Linked DNA regions of Oryctolagus cuniculus. The protein of the gene in region 1 interacts with the protein of each later gene in a pairwise test. Links are inferred from orthologs where the notes say so. Each region holds a gene or a part of one and is shown in the gene's direction. Other genes may lie near its edges.

Region 1 (3,512 bases):
AGCTTTGTAATACATGTTAGTGACTGCTGATGTAGTTGGAAGTCATTCTTTTAAAAAATTGCTTTAGAGTCCCCCATGTGCGTGCAGAGGCCCAGCATTTGGGCTGTCTTCCTCTGCCCATCCCAGGCCGTTAGCAGGGAGCTGGATCAGAAGTGGAGCAAGGGGGACCCGAACCAGCACCCACATGGGATGCTTGTGTGCTGTGCTGTAGATGGTGGCTTAACCCTCTATGCCACAATGCCAGCCCCATTCTTCTGTTTTTTTGTAAGTGAGCATTAAAAATAAATAAATAAACAAGAATAAAAAAAGAAAGCATTAACAGGCAATTTTTCTGGCCTAAAAAGAAAATGGAAATACTGGATTTTACAAATTTGACATTATTAATGACTAAACTATAAGATGTGAAAATTGCTTTGAGGTTAGATATAGAGTGATTAATATTCCATTTTTTTAGATTTAGTTTTTTTTTTCTATCTCTAGGAGATTCTGGAGTCTGGGGATTGAAAAAAAATTTTGCTTTATTGGAGCTCTTGGAACGACTGCAGAATGGACATATTGGTCAGTATGGAGCAGCAGAAGAAGCCATTGGGATATCTGGAGAGGTATTGATTGAACTTGGTGAAATATTTGTTGTGAACATGAATTTTTCTTTGAATTAAAAATTTTTGCCATTATTAAACAATATTACCTCATTTGCTTCAACAGATAGATTTCTAGAAACACAACTTTTCATTACATTACAGTTCTGAAGGCAGTATCTTTCCCAACAGAACAGAACTAAAACTGAAACTTGAATTATTTGAATTGAATTTTTTAAAAAAACATTTATTTATTTGAGAGGCAGAGTTACAGAGGGAGAGACAGGAAGTTCTTCACTCCGCTGGTTCACTCCACAAATGACCACAACGGCCAGAGTTGGGCTGATCTGTAGCCAGGATCCAGGAGTTTCTTCTGGGTCTCCCATGTGGGTGCAGGGCCCCAAGCACTTGGGCCATCTTCCATTGCTTTCCCAGGCCATTCACAGACAGCTGGATAAGAAGACGAGCAGCTGGGATGTGAACTGGCACCCATATGAGATACTGGCACCACAGGCGGAAGCCTAACATAGCATGCCACAGTGCCAACCTTTGAATTTAATTCTTTGAAGATAACTAAGACTAACATATTTTTTGTGTGAAATTTTTCTCCTTATCGTAATTTAATTCTACCCATGGATAAAGTGAAAAAGAGTAAGAAGATGATAGAAGAGTAAAAAGGTTGTGTCAGCTACAGTGGAGCAGAGAAAGCAAAAGTGGTCAAAAATAAAGCACCACAAAAGAAAGAGAAACTCCCACCAGAGGCCTTTTAATGTTAAGACAAAATCCCCTGCCCCTGCCCCCCCCCCCCTTTATTTAAAGATTTACGTATTTTATTTGAAAGGCAGAATTAGAGAATCTTCCATTTGCTGGTTCACTTCTCAAATGACTGCAATGGCTGGAGCTGGGCCAGGCAGAAGCCAGCACCTGAAACTCCATCTGATCTCCCACGTGGGTGGCAAGATTCTAAGCACTTGAGCCATCTCTCACTGCTTTCCCAGGTGCATTAACAGGGAGTTGGATCAGAAATGAAACAGCTGGTACTCAAGCTGGTGCCCATATGGGATGCCAGTATTGCAGGTGGTAGCTTGCCAGCCCCAAGGCAAAGTCCCCTTAAGTAGCAATAGCCTCTGAGGAAATTATTACTAAATATATTCAAGAATTATGTGTAGACATATTCTCTTTGTGCAGACAAGCAGATGTCTACTAACTACTAGAAAAAATTCACTAACATTGCATTTTAACAATGTTAAAATACATTTTTAGCACTTAAGGAATTGTCCGCATACCTTATATAGTACAAGATGTGGCTTGCTTAGGCTGTTCTAGATAGGAGAATATTTGTATTAAGTGATTATCAGTGATTTTGGTGACTGACTTTAAAGTCAAGTATTTTGTATCAAAGAAAAAAAGTTAGATTTCTATTTTCCTTCTACTAGATTAATTCTTAACATTAAAGTGAGTCAGTGAAATGAATTTCAAACTGAAGCACTCCTTTTTCTATGATTTTTGCAGTCTTCCATATTATTTTTTTTAATCTTTATTTTAAAAGGCTTTGAGTGTCATTTGAGGTTTGCTTTGTAGATTTCAGGTCTGGATAACAGAAGATGTGGATTTTTTGTTACAAATATACATTTCTTATAAACAAAGCTTGCCAATTTGGGATTTTTTTTTTTGTTTAATGTGATAATGAACACAACACCATTGATGTATTTTCTAATTTTTATTCCTGGAAAAATGTATAGTACATTTAGTTAAAAGCCTTCTAATTATGTCCTTTTAGTATTCAGTCAAAGTTTTCAAATCATTATTGAGTTTGACATAACAATTTTTTACCCACTTGAAATGCTTTTTAGAAAATTAGAACTAATATTTAGATGCATATATGGTGTTCTATTATTAATTATTTTTATTTGCTGAGATCAGTGGTTTCCAACCATGTATGTATGATAGACTCATCTGTGGAGCTGCTAGAATATACTTGTGTATATTTACAAAAGAAATACACAGGTCCATGCTTCACCTATAGCCTGTTGAAATAATGTCCCAATTTGGAACCTGTACATCTGTGTTTTTAAAACCTTTACAGATGACTTGGATGTATACTCCCAGGATAAATAGAATAGTATTGATGTGGTTTTTTTTTATTTATTTTTTTTTTTTATTTTTTGACAGGCAGAGTGGACAGTGAGAGAAAGAGACAGAGAGAAAGGTCTTCCTTTGCCGTTGGTTCACCCTCCAATGGCCGCCACGGCCTGCGCGCTGCGGCCGGCGCACCGCGCTGATCCGATGGCAGGAGCCAGGTGCTTCTCCTGGTCTCCCATGGGGTGCAGGGCCCAAGTACTTGGGCCATCCTCCACTGCACTCCCTGGCCACAGCAGAGAGCTAGCCTGGAAGAGGGGCAACCGGGACAGAATCCGGCGCCCTGATCGGGACTAGAACCCATTGTGCCGGCGCCACAAGGTGGAGCATTAGCCTAGTGAGCCGCAGCGCTGGCCTGATGTGGTTTTCCTTCCTATCCATCATCATGACAAGTAATACTTATACTTACATCATGGAGATATATTTAATGTCAGATTTTTTTTTAATCTTAAAAAAACTTTAACCTTTCTGTGGTCTAGTTTCTTGTGTGTAAAGTGAGGATATTTGATGGAAGAGATCTGTGCTGACTGTACTGTACTGACTGTGATATTTATGAGAATATGTGATGGACTATTTTTGGACTCAAATTCATAATAGGTATTGGTAATCTATCCTGGAAATAGCTTCTCGCTTACCTGTAGAAATGAATGCTTTCTTAGATGAGTGACTAATGTCTCTTGTACATAATTATCAGTACATTTTCATGTAAAAGTCTGATTTGTTAAAAAAGATCATGGGCTTTTGTATTTTAAAATCTGTCATGTTATAATGATTGAATTCAGTTTTAAGACATTA
Region 2 (4,289 bases), on another chromosome or scaffold:
TGGTACCCAACCAAAGGAGCCACCCAGGCACTGCCAATTACATCATCAAATTTTAATTTTCTCCAATACATCTCTATCTGTGTCCCCAACTAGAATTTAGTAATACTGCTCCATTGAAGCAAGAACAATCAGTCTTTGCCCTGGAAGAGTCTGATAAGTGAAGTCAAATACAATAAAAATATAAATTAAAAAGCATATTAGAAAATGGTACATATGATAAAAATAAACAAGTGATAGGGATTATGTGTATGTGTTGGGGTGTTTACAATTTTAAGTACCGTGAGATCAGAAAGGGTCTCTGAGAATGACATTTGAGTAGATTTAAGAGAACCAAAGGAAGCGTGGAGCACCGAGGTTCTGAGGTGGGAGTGTGACAAGCATGCTGTGGGGATAGCTGTGGGGCAGTGTGGTTGCTTCAGAGTGAAGAGGAAGCAGAAAAGGAAGTTGCGGTATGTGGGGATGAAGGGTGTATTGTGAAGTGCTCCTGTAAAGACTCACCTTTACTCAAAGGATGAGCATAAGTTAGTAGAAAGTCCTAGGAGAGGGTTAACATTGTCTGAACTACATTTTGTGGTGATCATCCTCTCTGTAGCCATTGTATTCAGAGTAGATTTCAGCAGAGCAAGTACAAAACCAGGAAGATCAATTAGGAAACTATTTTGGTAATCTAGTAAGATGTGGAGCTTTCAATCTAGAAAGTCCCGGGATGTCTTTATGTATTCCTTATCACCGTGCCTTGTCAGCACATTCAATATGTGCTTGTGTGTCTTAAATGAAAACACACTAGGCTCACTGCACAAAGTGACAAATGAGGAAGGTATTTCTAGGAATAGGTTCTTAGCATTTATGTGTGATTAAAACCAGAAATACTTTGCTAATACTGGGTTTCTGGCACTTTGACTCAGTCCCATTTATACCTAAACACCACTTAGCTTAATAAAGAAACAGCAATGATTTGTATTTAACTTATTTTGACCTTGCAAAGAAGTACTAGACAAACCCAGGCAAAATTGTCAGGACACTCAATTGCTCCTCACTTACCAATTACCTAACATTTCAACCTAATTTTTTGGTGTACATTTCAAATAAAGCATCACACAGGGCACTGGAGAATGTATAAGACAAGCTTCTTTGCTCAATGTACAATCAAGTTGGATGGATAAAACTCACACCTCACAGGTAGCAAATCTGAGGTAATGCAATGCATATCTAGAGTTAAACTATTTAAGTTGGATCTTGAGGAATGAATCAGAAGTGGAAAATGGATAGGAAGTAAGAAAACACTGGTGAACCAGAATATGAGTTGCTGCTCTGGGACTTGCAATGAATTCTTCACCTTAAATTTAAAAATATTAACAACAAAAGGAGGAAGCTCATTGTAACACTATGTCTTTGAAAACACAGGTGGTTAGAAGCCAAGAAGAGACTAAATATAGAGATCCCTTATATAAAACACTAAGCAGTCAGCCATTCAAAAGTAGCCCTCCTACCTTCCCACTTCCCTCCCAGAGGAAGCCAGATGCACTCAGGAAGTTGCTAAAGACAAATCCTTCGTCCTAGTTCCTTTCTGCTCCTTCCACAGCAAGCCTGTCACCATTCAAGTTCCCAGAAGCTGTGCAGGAGGCCGAGCTCCCAGCCAGAAGTCCTCAGAGTTGGGGAGGACACCCGGGACCCGGACACTGGGCTGACAACAGGGATCAAGGAAGGCGAAACGAGAAATGTATGTGGATTGACTCCTCTCACTGCCCGTAGCCCTGGGCCTCCGGGAGCTGGGAATCCCGACGGCACCCTGCGGCGGACAAACTGTCGGCTACGTGGAGCGCCTACACCACCACCAGTCCTGGGTAAGTCGGGAGTCCGTCCGCCTCTGGGGGGTGACAGTCGCCAGGGGGTGTGGCTGCCGCGGTGGTCGCTTCAGCCGAGGAGGAATTCGTCGCTGTCCCTAAAGCAGTCTGATAAGTGGGACAGGGTCCGGTCCACCCTGTCGCCGGATCCTCACCGCGGCGGAGCCGGGGCTGGCTGGCGGGGAGCGAGCGAGGGGGTTATAGGGAGCCCCGGTTCTTCCTGGCAGCCCTGGCTGGGAGCGGGCTGTGTGCATCGGCTGTCGCCTGCCTCAAACCTGCTGTACCTAGGCTGCTGTCTCACCTGCTCCCTGCCAGCCCCAGGCCGAGCGCCACCTCCGAGAGAAGGAAGCCGGGGAGTTTCCTTCCCCGTGTTCTGGATGACCGGTCCTTGAACAGTTTGGAGTCAGACCCGCGTTGCTCCCCGCGGCCCCCTCGGCTCTGTGAATTCGGTCGGTCTTTTAAGATGCCGAGTCACTGGACCGCCGTGGTGAACGGTCAACCCGCGAGTCCTCTGCCTCTGATCGTCTGTGGCTTGTCGTGAAGCAGAGGAATTGTGTGTGATGGCAGGATCTGTGGCCTTGTGATTATTTCGGGAGGAACGACGGGTCTAATGCAAGCCTGCGGCTTAAATTTTGCCACTCTCTGATTATGTGAATTATGTATGTGGCTCTGGTGACTGTATCCATCCTTTCTGCTCTCCGTGCTTCCTGAGTTTCACGGAGCTGAATGAAAGTTTTCGGGGTTTTGACTATCGTGCGTGGGTAAACCCAGACAGATGCCGATTAAAAAAAAAAAAAAGGTTTGGGCAATGGGTATTGTCCTGTTACTGTATCGCAATAATGACAACAGCTGCAAGTGAGAGCTAGGAAGTTAGTTTCGTTTCTCCTTTCGTTCTGTTTATAACCATCTACTCTTCCGTGGAGATAATGAATGTAGTGCTAATGAGCACAGTTGTCTTTAAAGATATGGCAAATGTCCCCACACACTTTTTTCACAACAGAAAAAAACTGGATCTTCTTTGTATTCAAAGGGTTGTTCTTTTTTATCCCTCCTTATGACTTGTTTAGTTTGGAGTAGAAAGAATGTTCCTTCTACTCATAGTAATAACTCACACACAGCACATGCTGTTCTGCGGTTTTGTTAACTCATTTCATCTTCAGTATGAATATTATTCCCATTTTATGGACAAGAAAAAAAAATGAGTACCTCTGATGGTTGTATTTACCATTATATTGTTTGCAGAATTTTTAATAATAAATTCCATGTTAGAAGTTTTCTACTGATATTTACCAAAATTTTTTTGTGCTTATACTCAAATTATTTAGTATTTAAGTGTACTAGTAAGAATGGGTTCAGTTCTTTGAATGTAATAACATCTTACTCTTTGGCAAATATCAGTAAATAACATTACATTTATAAATAGTTACGATATGAAAAAATACATGCTTATTTTTATTTCCCTGCATTTTTATTTTTACATAGGGCAAGTGCCTCAGTTTCAGTCTGGGTGACCTTTAAGTGAAATTTGCTTGCCATCTTAGTTCATACACAGAAAACTGCAATCAACAAAATCAACAGGTCGAAGAAGAACGATGTTGTCCTTAAACAACCTACAGAATGTCATCTATAACCCGGTAACTGATTTCTGTAAACTCACTCTTTACTGCTGGGACGATTGATAGCAAATCCAACTGAACAGTAATGTCAGTATTCAGTGGCGAGGAGAAGGAGAAGGAGAAGTAAGGGTCTTGTCCAGTCCATGCTGGTCCAACAGCCCCTGAATGACTGTAGTTGCTGAAAATTTGTAATGAACATCTGGGCAATAAAAAGCTTGCTATAGTGCCAGGTGGTGGTGAGAGTCTTCAGCAGTATCTGGTCTCCACTTACCTGCAGCTGAATCATGAATTTGGACACTTGCTTTCTCAACAACCCCCCTAGGAAGTCATTGGCCAATATACAGGGTGAGAGGCCTCAAAGCAAGCGCCGATTAAAGTGCATGGACTCAGGCTTTTGTTGTTTATTTTGTAGCTGCAGTTGTTTTCCCCCTAAGTATGAACGTCATTGTGCAAGAATAAAGTGCAAAAACTGGATCAAGCAAAAGCTCGGTTTCAGAAGACCCTTCAGCAGTAGTAGGTTGAAAAAGGAAGTGTCACAGAATCTGAAGCCAGTGAAACACTTAAAATGCTTTTGTGGGGGTAGTTGTGGACTGACTTCCTGCAAAGATCGGAAAACAAAACCAAAAACAGGCTGATGCTAAGAGGGGCTGAGGTGTGTACTTGGCTCAAGCTGGATGGGTTATGGGTTATGCGTTCGCTTTTGCCCTTCACACACACAAGATGCTTTATTTCAATGTTATTTAAGAATAATCTTATAGATTAAAATCCCTGTATATATTATTTTAAAAAAGATTTATTTATTTGAAAGGCAGAGTTACAGAGAGGTGGA
Region 3 (3,981 bases), on another chromosome or scaffold:
ATCACAAATCCCCTAGTATGATATAGTTAGAAGGGCACATCATTTCTGCATCATTTTTTGCCAAACATTCATAACCTCAGTCCAACAATGAGAAATCATCAGACAAACCTATCTGAGGAAGGTTCTACAAAAAAATGAACTGTACTTTGCAAGAGTTAGAAGTCAAGAAAGACTGAGAAGCTGCCACAAGACTGAAGAAGAGAAAGGAGGCATTGCAATTATATTGCAATATGTGATCTTAGGTTTAATTCTGAATTCTGGAACAGAAAATTGTCTACAGCTAATAGTATTGCATCATTCTGATTTTGATAATTATACTATTGTTATATAAAAAGCTTAAGAGTATCTGGATAAAAGATATAAAAGAACACTACTTGGGGCTGGCACTGTGGTGCAGTGGGTTAACGCCCTGGCCTGAAGTGCCGGCATCCCATATGAGCACCGGTTCGAGACCTGGCTGCTCCACTTCCTGTGTAGCTCTCTGGTATGGCCCGGGAAAGCAGTAGAAGATGGCCCAAGTCCTTGGGTCCCTGCACCCACGTGGGAGACTGGGAAGAGGCTCCTGGCTCCTGGCTTCGGATCGGCACAGCTCTGGCCATTGTGGCCATCTGGGGAGTGAACAATTGGATGGAAGACCTCTCTCTCTCTCTCTCTCTCTCTCTCTCTCTGCCTCTCCTCTCTCTGTGTAACTCTGACTTTCAAATAAATAAATCTTTTTTTAAAAAAAAAGAACAGTATTACTTCGCGACATGTAAGTCTAAAAGTATTGCTGAATAAAGATTTTTTAAAAATTTATTGCTCTGTTTTGAAAGTTACTGTAGCTGTTCCTTTGGGAGTTCAGGGCCCATCCCAAGATGCCCAGGGTTTCTAAACTGGAAACATAGCCATGAGATTGTTAGAATAATGGAATACCTGTTTTCAAGACCATTCTCTAAAACAAGAAGAAACGAACTCCTGGGAAGAAGGAATCTACCTTCTACCGCTACCGCCTCTTGGCGGAACTACAGTTCCCGGTATACTTGGCGCAGGCGCATTCCTGTGAAATTCAGACGCGCTACAATAACTTCCTACGGCTAGTTGTTTGGTTTCGTCGGCCGACGCCGCAATGCTTTTTGGGAAATGTAGTTCTTGCGCTTGTCTGACTGCCGCTAGCGAATTGAACCCAAACTAAACTTCCCAGCAAGCAGCGCACCAGCCTGGGAACTGGGGCAAGATGGCAGACGCCGAAGATGGTGTTTTGCAGCCGACTGCACCTTCTACTGCCCCAATTTCATTCGCCTTTACTCGTACGTCCTCTCGGAGGCGGCTGGTGGCCCTAAGTGATGGCGCAGAGTCCGCCCCAGAGGAGAAGGATTTCTTGAAGACCGTGGAAGGGAGGCAGCTACAAAGGTGAAGCGCCGGGTCTTTCGCCCCTTGTAAATCGGTGCCGTGGGTGCGAGCGGGAGGACTCGAGTAGTTTGCTTTGATGACAGTGGCCTGGAAAGCCTGAACCACGGCCTCAGGAAATCCGTGGAGGAGAGAAGGCAGGAGCTTGTGGGAGAAGTAGGGAAGTTGCTTTTCATGGCCGTGTGGACTGAGAAGATGTATAAGGATACTTCAGAAAGTTCGTGGGAAATGCGCATTATTTCAGTATTCATTTCCATGGACTTTTTGAAATGCCCTCACATTCATGACAGGGAATACCTTTATGATGCTGGGACACTCTGGTGTGTGCGTTCAGATAAGTGGGAAAGAGGGAATAATTACAGGACCCTGTTGTCTCAGCTAAAGTGAATGGGGGCGACTCTAATACGGGGAACGAGATGGAGCTGCAGATTCAGGTTGAGGGAGGCCGCATCAGCATCTTTAGGAAAGAAGAGGCTGAAGTGCCTGAGGGAGGGACTCGCAGAAGAGAAGCAACCGCCTAGGAGGCTGTTCTGGAGCTGGGAAGAGTCTGGCTGCAAATGGTCATCTGTAGTTCTTGGGATGAACAGACGGCCTGGCAATGATTCCTGGAAGATACTGTCATTTAAGGGCTGGAGGGACAATGACGTGCAATCAGAGGCATGGTCCATGGAGCTAGGAGGGGGCTTGGCTCTTGTGTTTCTCTGCATAGGGGGGGTGTAGCTGGAACCCACGGACCCTGCTTCTCTCCTCACCTTACCTTTCTTTGTCCACATCAGTGTGAAGCCCTCAGAGGTCCCCAAGGAACCTGTCATTCCCTTGATTCAGAATGGCTATCACAGGCAGCCCCTGGTCCAGCCCTCTGGGCTATCCACAGACACCAAGACCTTGATGGATGAGGTGCTGTCCCAGGCTGTGAAGGAACTGATTGAGGGTAAGTGGGCCCCCTCTCCCCACCCTGCTCCAGTGAAGAAAGACAAGGAAGAAGGTGGAAGATACATGGGGTGGGACCTCATTGCTCCCTCCCATTCTTCCTTAGAAACCGAGAAGTCCCTGGAAGAAAGAAAGAATGCAAATGCCGACTCCATGCTCACTATCCCCATGATCCAGAAAGGATACACCTCCAACAAGGAAGGGGTAGACAGCGAACACTCAGCTGAAACTGTGAGTTGGCCCCTTACCCCCTTGCTCCCTTGGTTTCTCCTTGCCCTGTCTGCCATGCATGCCTTCTTACACACAGCAAAGAAAGTCTGTGTGTACACTGGAGGCCTACTGCCTAGCTCTTCCTCCTTCCAGCCTTTTTGGGAACATTAACACATGAATCCAGATATTGGAATATGAAGTTGGATCCTAGGATTGTCTGAATGGGGTGAGAGGCAGAGGGAAGAGGAAATATAATAGCCATGAGGGTGGACACTGCCTGGAGTGTTTGACAAACACCAAGGAGACCAACGCGGCTGGACTGGAATTAGTAAGAGAAGTCAGGTGGCAGTGGAGGGGGTGCGGCGAGACCAGGCAGGGCTTTGTGGGTCATGATGAGAACTTTGGCTTTTACCCTGAATGAAATGATAGCCATGGGTGGGCCCTAGGCAGAGAAAGGATGCGACTTATGATTCAACAGAATCTACTGTGAACACAACAGACTAGTAAGTGAAGGTAGAAGCAGGGAGCCCAGCAGTCTAGACCAGAGATGGTAAGGACTCAGATCCAAGTGGCGTGAGAGAAGGCGAGGTAGGGTTTAGCGAGAGAGGCAAGAGCAGGGTGAGTATTCCTAATGGTAGCAGCTGCCCGAGCAGGCCATGGCAGGAAGGCTGTGTGGTGTGTCTGTTAGTGAGACAACTTGTGTGTCTGGAATGAGTGAATGAAAGGATTGAAGGAGTAACGACGGGAAGCGACCACAGGAAAGGGTAGCGGCAGGGCCATGGAAGTAAGCAAGTCTGTCCATATCTTGGACTCGACTTCTCACCTGTTCATTCATAAGTATTTTGCACTGCTTCCTCAGGGCCTACTTCTCCTATGGCCACAGAGCATCGACCATCCTGGCTTTAACTGGGGTGATTAGAAGTGAACTCATCCACCTTCATTTGTGCTCTGGTGTCTTTCATTAAAAAACAAACAAAGACCCTCCATTTACTCTTCATCCTGTTCCAGCTCTGGCCTTGTTTCTCATTTTCCCTCTGACAAGCCCCCTCCAGCAGCCTTCCACCTGTCAATTGATCACACTTCCATAGTCCTTCCTCTCCCTCAGCTCCAAACCTTGCCGTCATCTTTGCCCCTCCCTCTCTCTGTCATACCCCCACGTATGATCTGTCAACGCCGTCTTTGCCTTTTTTCTAAATGCATCCAGAATTTCACTTCTCATCACCACCAGCACCGCACATCTGGACGACTGCAGTGACTTTCTCGCTGGCCCCTCATGTGACCTCCACCTGCCTGCAGGTTGTCTGCCTCCTGCACCCAGCTCTCCTGATTGACCCCTTACCCATGCTCCTCTGCCCCCATGTCCCTGTTCCAGTCATGTTGATTTTCATAATACTCTTCACACACACCGAGTTTTGTTTGGCCTCAGAGCCTTTGCTCTTACTGTCCTCTCTGCTC
Region 4 (3,697 bases), on another chromosome or scaffold:
TGCTGCAGAGCCTTTAACATGTTGATTTGCACGTCCAAGAGGGTGGTCCTCACAAGCAGGACTGTCCTATCTTGGCCAATTCCTTTTTTCTGACCGCACATCTTGAGCCTTGGATTCCATAGAGTACTTCGGAAAACAGTATCCTCATCTGATTATCGTTTCACTGATTAGGACAAGGTGGCCAAAAAGAGAAAACAAAACAAAACAAAATCGGACTGAGCTGCCTGGTAGGGCCAGCTGTTTTCCAGACCAATGATTTTTTTTCTCACCAAACACCAAACCACAGGTACAAATCAACGATAGATCCTTGGGGACCATTCCTTGGTTTTAAATAACTTCCCTTCTGTGTAATCTAGAGGAGTTGCAGTGGATGTAGGAAGAAGGGGGCAACACTCAAAGCAAAACCCACCTTTGAAGAGGATCAAGTCAAGTCTGGTCTCAGGATAGAGACCATTTTTCTCCCCTTGGTGGAAAGGGCACCCAGGAAGACCACATGAGCTCCCCTGAAGGAGGAGGTCCTTTTGAGTATCATAACCCGTATGGGACCTCCACTCTCCAACCTGCCTCAAATTGCCCTATAAACCGATCCTGTATCCTCCGTCCAAGTACTAAAAATGCTATATATGCCAGGCCTCTGCAAGATACGTAACTCCACGATGATGCGGTATCATTTCCACTCTGAAGGGATTTTCCATCTGGTAGGGAACCGCAGACTTGCTAACACTTGATGCGAACCAAGCGGCGAGGAGTCGACAAGGAGGAAAGCGTTTCCCAAGGCTCTCCATGCCCACCCTAAGCCTGAAGGTAAACGGGGAGTTATTGGAGGATGTTGTCGGTTTTAAACAGAACTCTGGCCACACAGTGCGTTCTGCGACTCCACTTCCCATTATCACTTCCCCTTCCTGCTCCTCTCCTCCCCTCATCTTTTCCTTAGTTAATAACCCGCGGAAGGGTCACTCCCTCACCTCATATCATCAAAGGGCCTTGGTCCTGGGAGCGGCCACCTCTGGCTCTAGCCTCCTGCTCATCACCAGGGGGCTCATTACCCTACATAGTACACCTGTATAAGTAATTGGTACTAACGCAAGTCTCCTGACAGACGCTGACTTAAAGACTTCCGTCCGCAGCCTCCTCAGTGACCCAACCATCAGGTAAGACGCACAGCAACTCCCATTCGGCTGGGTCACTGAATTGTCCAAACCCCAGGGTTACCAAAAACCAAACCTAAAGACCCGCCATTGACGGGGCCCGAACCCGCGTCTTTGCAGTGCTGGGCATGCGCAATCTCCCCCACGAAACCGTCACGTGGACTCGGGAGCTGGTAGGAAGCGGAAGACTAACCAGGAGGAGAAAGAAGCCCGCCCCCGGAAGTCCCGCCCATCTCTAGAGCTTGTTCCCGGAAGTGGCGCTGTTTGTCGCGGGCGTGATGGCTTCAAGGTTACTTCGCGGAGCTGGAGCGCTGGCTGCTCAGGCCCTGAGGGCCCGCGGACCCAATGGAGCGGCTGCCGTGCGCTCCATGGCTTCTGGAGGTACGCGGCGCAAGGGACCGGTGTCGTTGCTCTCCCGGGGTGGTTGGGGCTGGGGCAGGAAAGCGGGTCGGGCTCTGCAGCCCCTCTGGGCCCCAGTGGCCACCTCTCGGCCCCGAGTGCATCAAGCTCTGCGGGCGTCGCCCTGTCATTTCGGGCTTCCGCTACTGCCGCCCACCGAGCTGACCCCGCAGAGTAAGACTCCTCAGCAGAGGTGCCGGATGACCTTGGAGGGCAGGGATTGCAAACGGGATGGAGCGGGACCGGGCTGCCCTTCAAACCCGCGCCCACTCTGAGCCGAGTGGACTCTGGTTGACCAGCTTTTAGAAAAATGTCGAAAAATCGGTTTTGGTGGTTGGAGGTGTGGAGAGAGCAAAGCTTCCGCTGGTGCTGGTCTTTTGGGGCTCGTCCCTAGAGGATCCTGGGTATCTGCAGCCTTTAGGAGCCCGTGAGCCCAGTAAAACATAGACAGGAGCTCGTGTGTGGCGTTTTCCGTCTTGATCATTTGCAGCGTGCCTTTTCCTGTCTGGGTCGCTAAAGGACATAATGCACGTGTCTTCCTTTAGGTGGTGTCCCGACCGATGAGGAACAGGCCACCGGGCTGGAGAGGGAGGTCATGATGGCCGCGCGGAAGGGACTGGTGAGGAGGGGCTCCCTTCTGTGTCTTCTGTGGTGCTCATGGGTCTGGGATGGAATCGGGGGAGTCGCCAGTCCTCTCCGTGCATTTGATCCAGGCAGCCTGGCTTGTGGGAGCAGGCCTCAGCTCCGGGAGGGTAGAAGTCTTATGGCATAGTGGAGTAATTCTTTTTTTTTTTTTTTTCCAGGACCCATACAATATGCTACCCCCAAAGGCAGCTTCAGGCACCAAGGAGGACCCTAATTTAGTCCCTTCCATCACCAACAAGCGAATAGTGGGCTGCATCTGTAAGTCCCTGACACGTTTTCTTAACTATTTAAGTAGTATATTCTGTTTGGGACGGCTATAAGCTGCTTCACATCTCGTGTGTGTGTGTGCAACTCTATGAATGTAAAGAGGATGTGTGTATAACTAAGTTGTTCCCAGAGTCCTGGCTCTCACGCAGTAGGTCATCCTTACTGGAAAGAGGTGTGGAACAAGCAGCAAGACTGGCTGGCTGGAAGTGCATGATGAAGATGGAATTTTCATTCACAAATCTTGGGCAATGTTTTAGGCCCCAGGGATGCACACCAGAGTGGACCCCGTTTGGAAGTCTGTGTAGGCAAGGGTATTGCTAGAACTTACAGTGACCTTGCTGTAAGGTCGGTATATGTGCAGGTAGATGCAGGGCCTCAGTTCTTCATCTGGAGAGTAGGGAGGAGAGTTTGAACTGATGTCCTCAGATGTCAGCCACAGTTTTATTTCTGTCTCCGAGGTGTCTGGGTAAAAAAGGTCAATGTTGAAAGTCTCTCTTCTTAGACCGGATGACTTTCAAACTCCTTTTGTCCTTTCAGGTGAAGAGGACAACAGTGCTGTCATCTGGTTCTGGCTGCACAAAGGCGAGACCCAGCGATGCCCTAACTGTGGAACCCATTATAAGCTGGTGCCTCACCAGTTGGCCCACTGAGCCCCTGCGCTAACTTAATCAGAATGTGCTGTGAGGTTTCTTCTTCCCAATAAAGATTAGCCATTGTATTGGCTCCTCCTCCCGTAGGTGACTGGCTTTACTTCTTTGTTTTCTTTTCCTTTTTTTTTTTTTGTAAGATTTATTATTTTTCTTTGAAAGGCAGAGTTAAAGAGAGGCAGAGAGAGGTCTTCAATCCGCTGGTTCACTCCCCAGATGTCTGCAGCGGCCAGAGCTGTGCTGATCCGAAGCCAGGAGCTTCTTCCAGGTCTCCCATGTGGGAAACCCCAAGGACTTGGGCCATCTTCCACTGCTTTCCCAGGCCACAGCAGAGAGCTGGATCGGAAGTGGAGCAGCCAGGAGTTGAACCGGTGCCCATATGGGATGCTGGCACTGCAGGCAGCGGCTTTACCTGCTATGCCACAGTGCTGGCCCCCATATATTTTTGGGTGGGTGATTCTTACATTGGGAATAGCTCTCTGTTAATACCAGCTTGCTACTCACAGTCTACAACCAGTGTGCACTGCTTAGATTAAGTAGATTAACAACCCGGAATGCAGTGCTTGGGAGCACCTAGTGCAGGGGAAAAGA

What was found. The genes of interacting proteins can lie anywhere in the genome.
Region 2: the proteins of TRIM23 (region 1) and LGALS8 interact in binary tests that used the Homo sapiens proteins (3 or more experiments, as listed by UniProt). The link is inferred for Oryctolagus cuniculus from reciprocal best matches to the Homo sapiens genes TRIM23 and LGALS8.
Region 3: the proteins of TRIM23 (region 1) and GPKOW interact in binary tests that used the Homo sapiens proteins (3 or more experiments, as listed by UniProt). The two-hybrid records come from large-scale screens. The link is inferred for Oryctolagus cuniculus from reciprocal best matches to the Homo sapiens genes TRIM23 and GPKOW.
Region 4: the proteins of TRIM23 (region 1) and COX5B interact in binary tests that used the Homo sapiens proteins (3 or more experiments, as listed by UniProt). The two-hybrid records come from large-scale screens. The link is inferred for Oryctolagus cuniculus from reciprocal best matches to the Homo sapiens genes TRIM23 and COX5B.

Annotation. Positions count from the first base shown.
Region 1 is NC_091445.1:86,565,539-86,569,050, reverse strand, and holds part of TRIM23 (E3 ubiquitin-protein ligase TRIM23), read left to right. Parts: intron 1-480; coding exon 481-602; intron 603-3,512.
Region 2 is NC_091444.1:61,238,305-61,242,593, reverse strand, and holds the start of LGALS8 (galectin-8), read left to right. Parts: upstream 1-1,487; 5' UTR 1,488-1,844; intron 1,845-3,326; 5' UTR 3,327-3,436; coding exon 3,437-3,478; intron 3,479-3,872; exon of another isoform or gene 3,873-4,094; coding exon of another isoform or gene 4,095-4,112; intron 4,113-4,289.
Region 3 is NC_091453.1:34,252,580-34,256,560, reverse strand, and holds the start of GPKOW (G-patch domain and KOW motifs-containing protein), read left to right. Parts: upstream 1-1,179; 5' UTR 1,180-1,213; coding exon 1,214-1,389; intron 1,390-2,162; coding exon 2,163-2,317; intron 2,318-2,422; coding exon 2,423-2,547; intron 2,548-3,981. UniProt on the Homo sapiens protein: RNA-binding protein involved in pre-mRNA splicing. As a component of the minor spliceosome, involved in the splicing of U12-type introns in pre-mRNAs.
Region 4 is NC_091433.1:110,723,406-110,727,102, reverse strand, and holds COX5B (cytochrome c oxidase subunit 5B, mitochondrial), read left to right. Parts: upstream 1-1,295; 5' UTR 1,296-1,426; coding exon 1,427-1,529; intron 1,530-2,092; coding exon 2,093-2,166; intron 2,167-2,350; coding exon 2,351-2,450; intron 2,451-2,996; coding exon 2,997-3,109; 3' UTR 3,110-3,195; downstream 3,196-3,697. UniProt on the Homo sapiens protein: Component of the cytochrome c oxidase, the last enzyme in the mitochondrial electron transport chain which drives oxidative phosphorylation.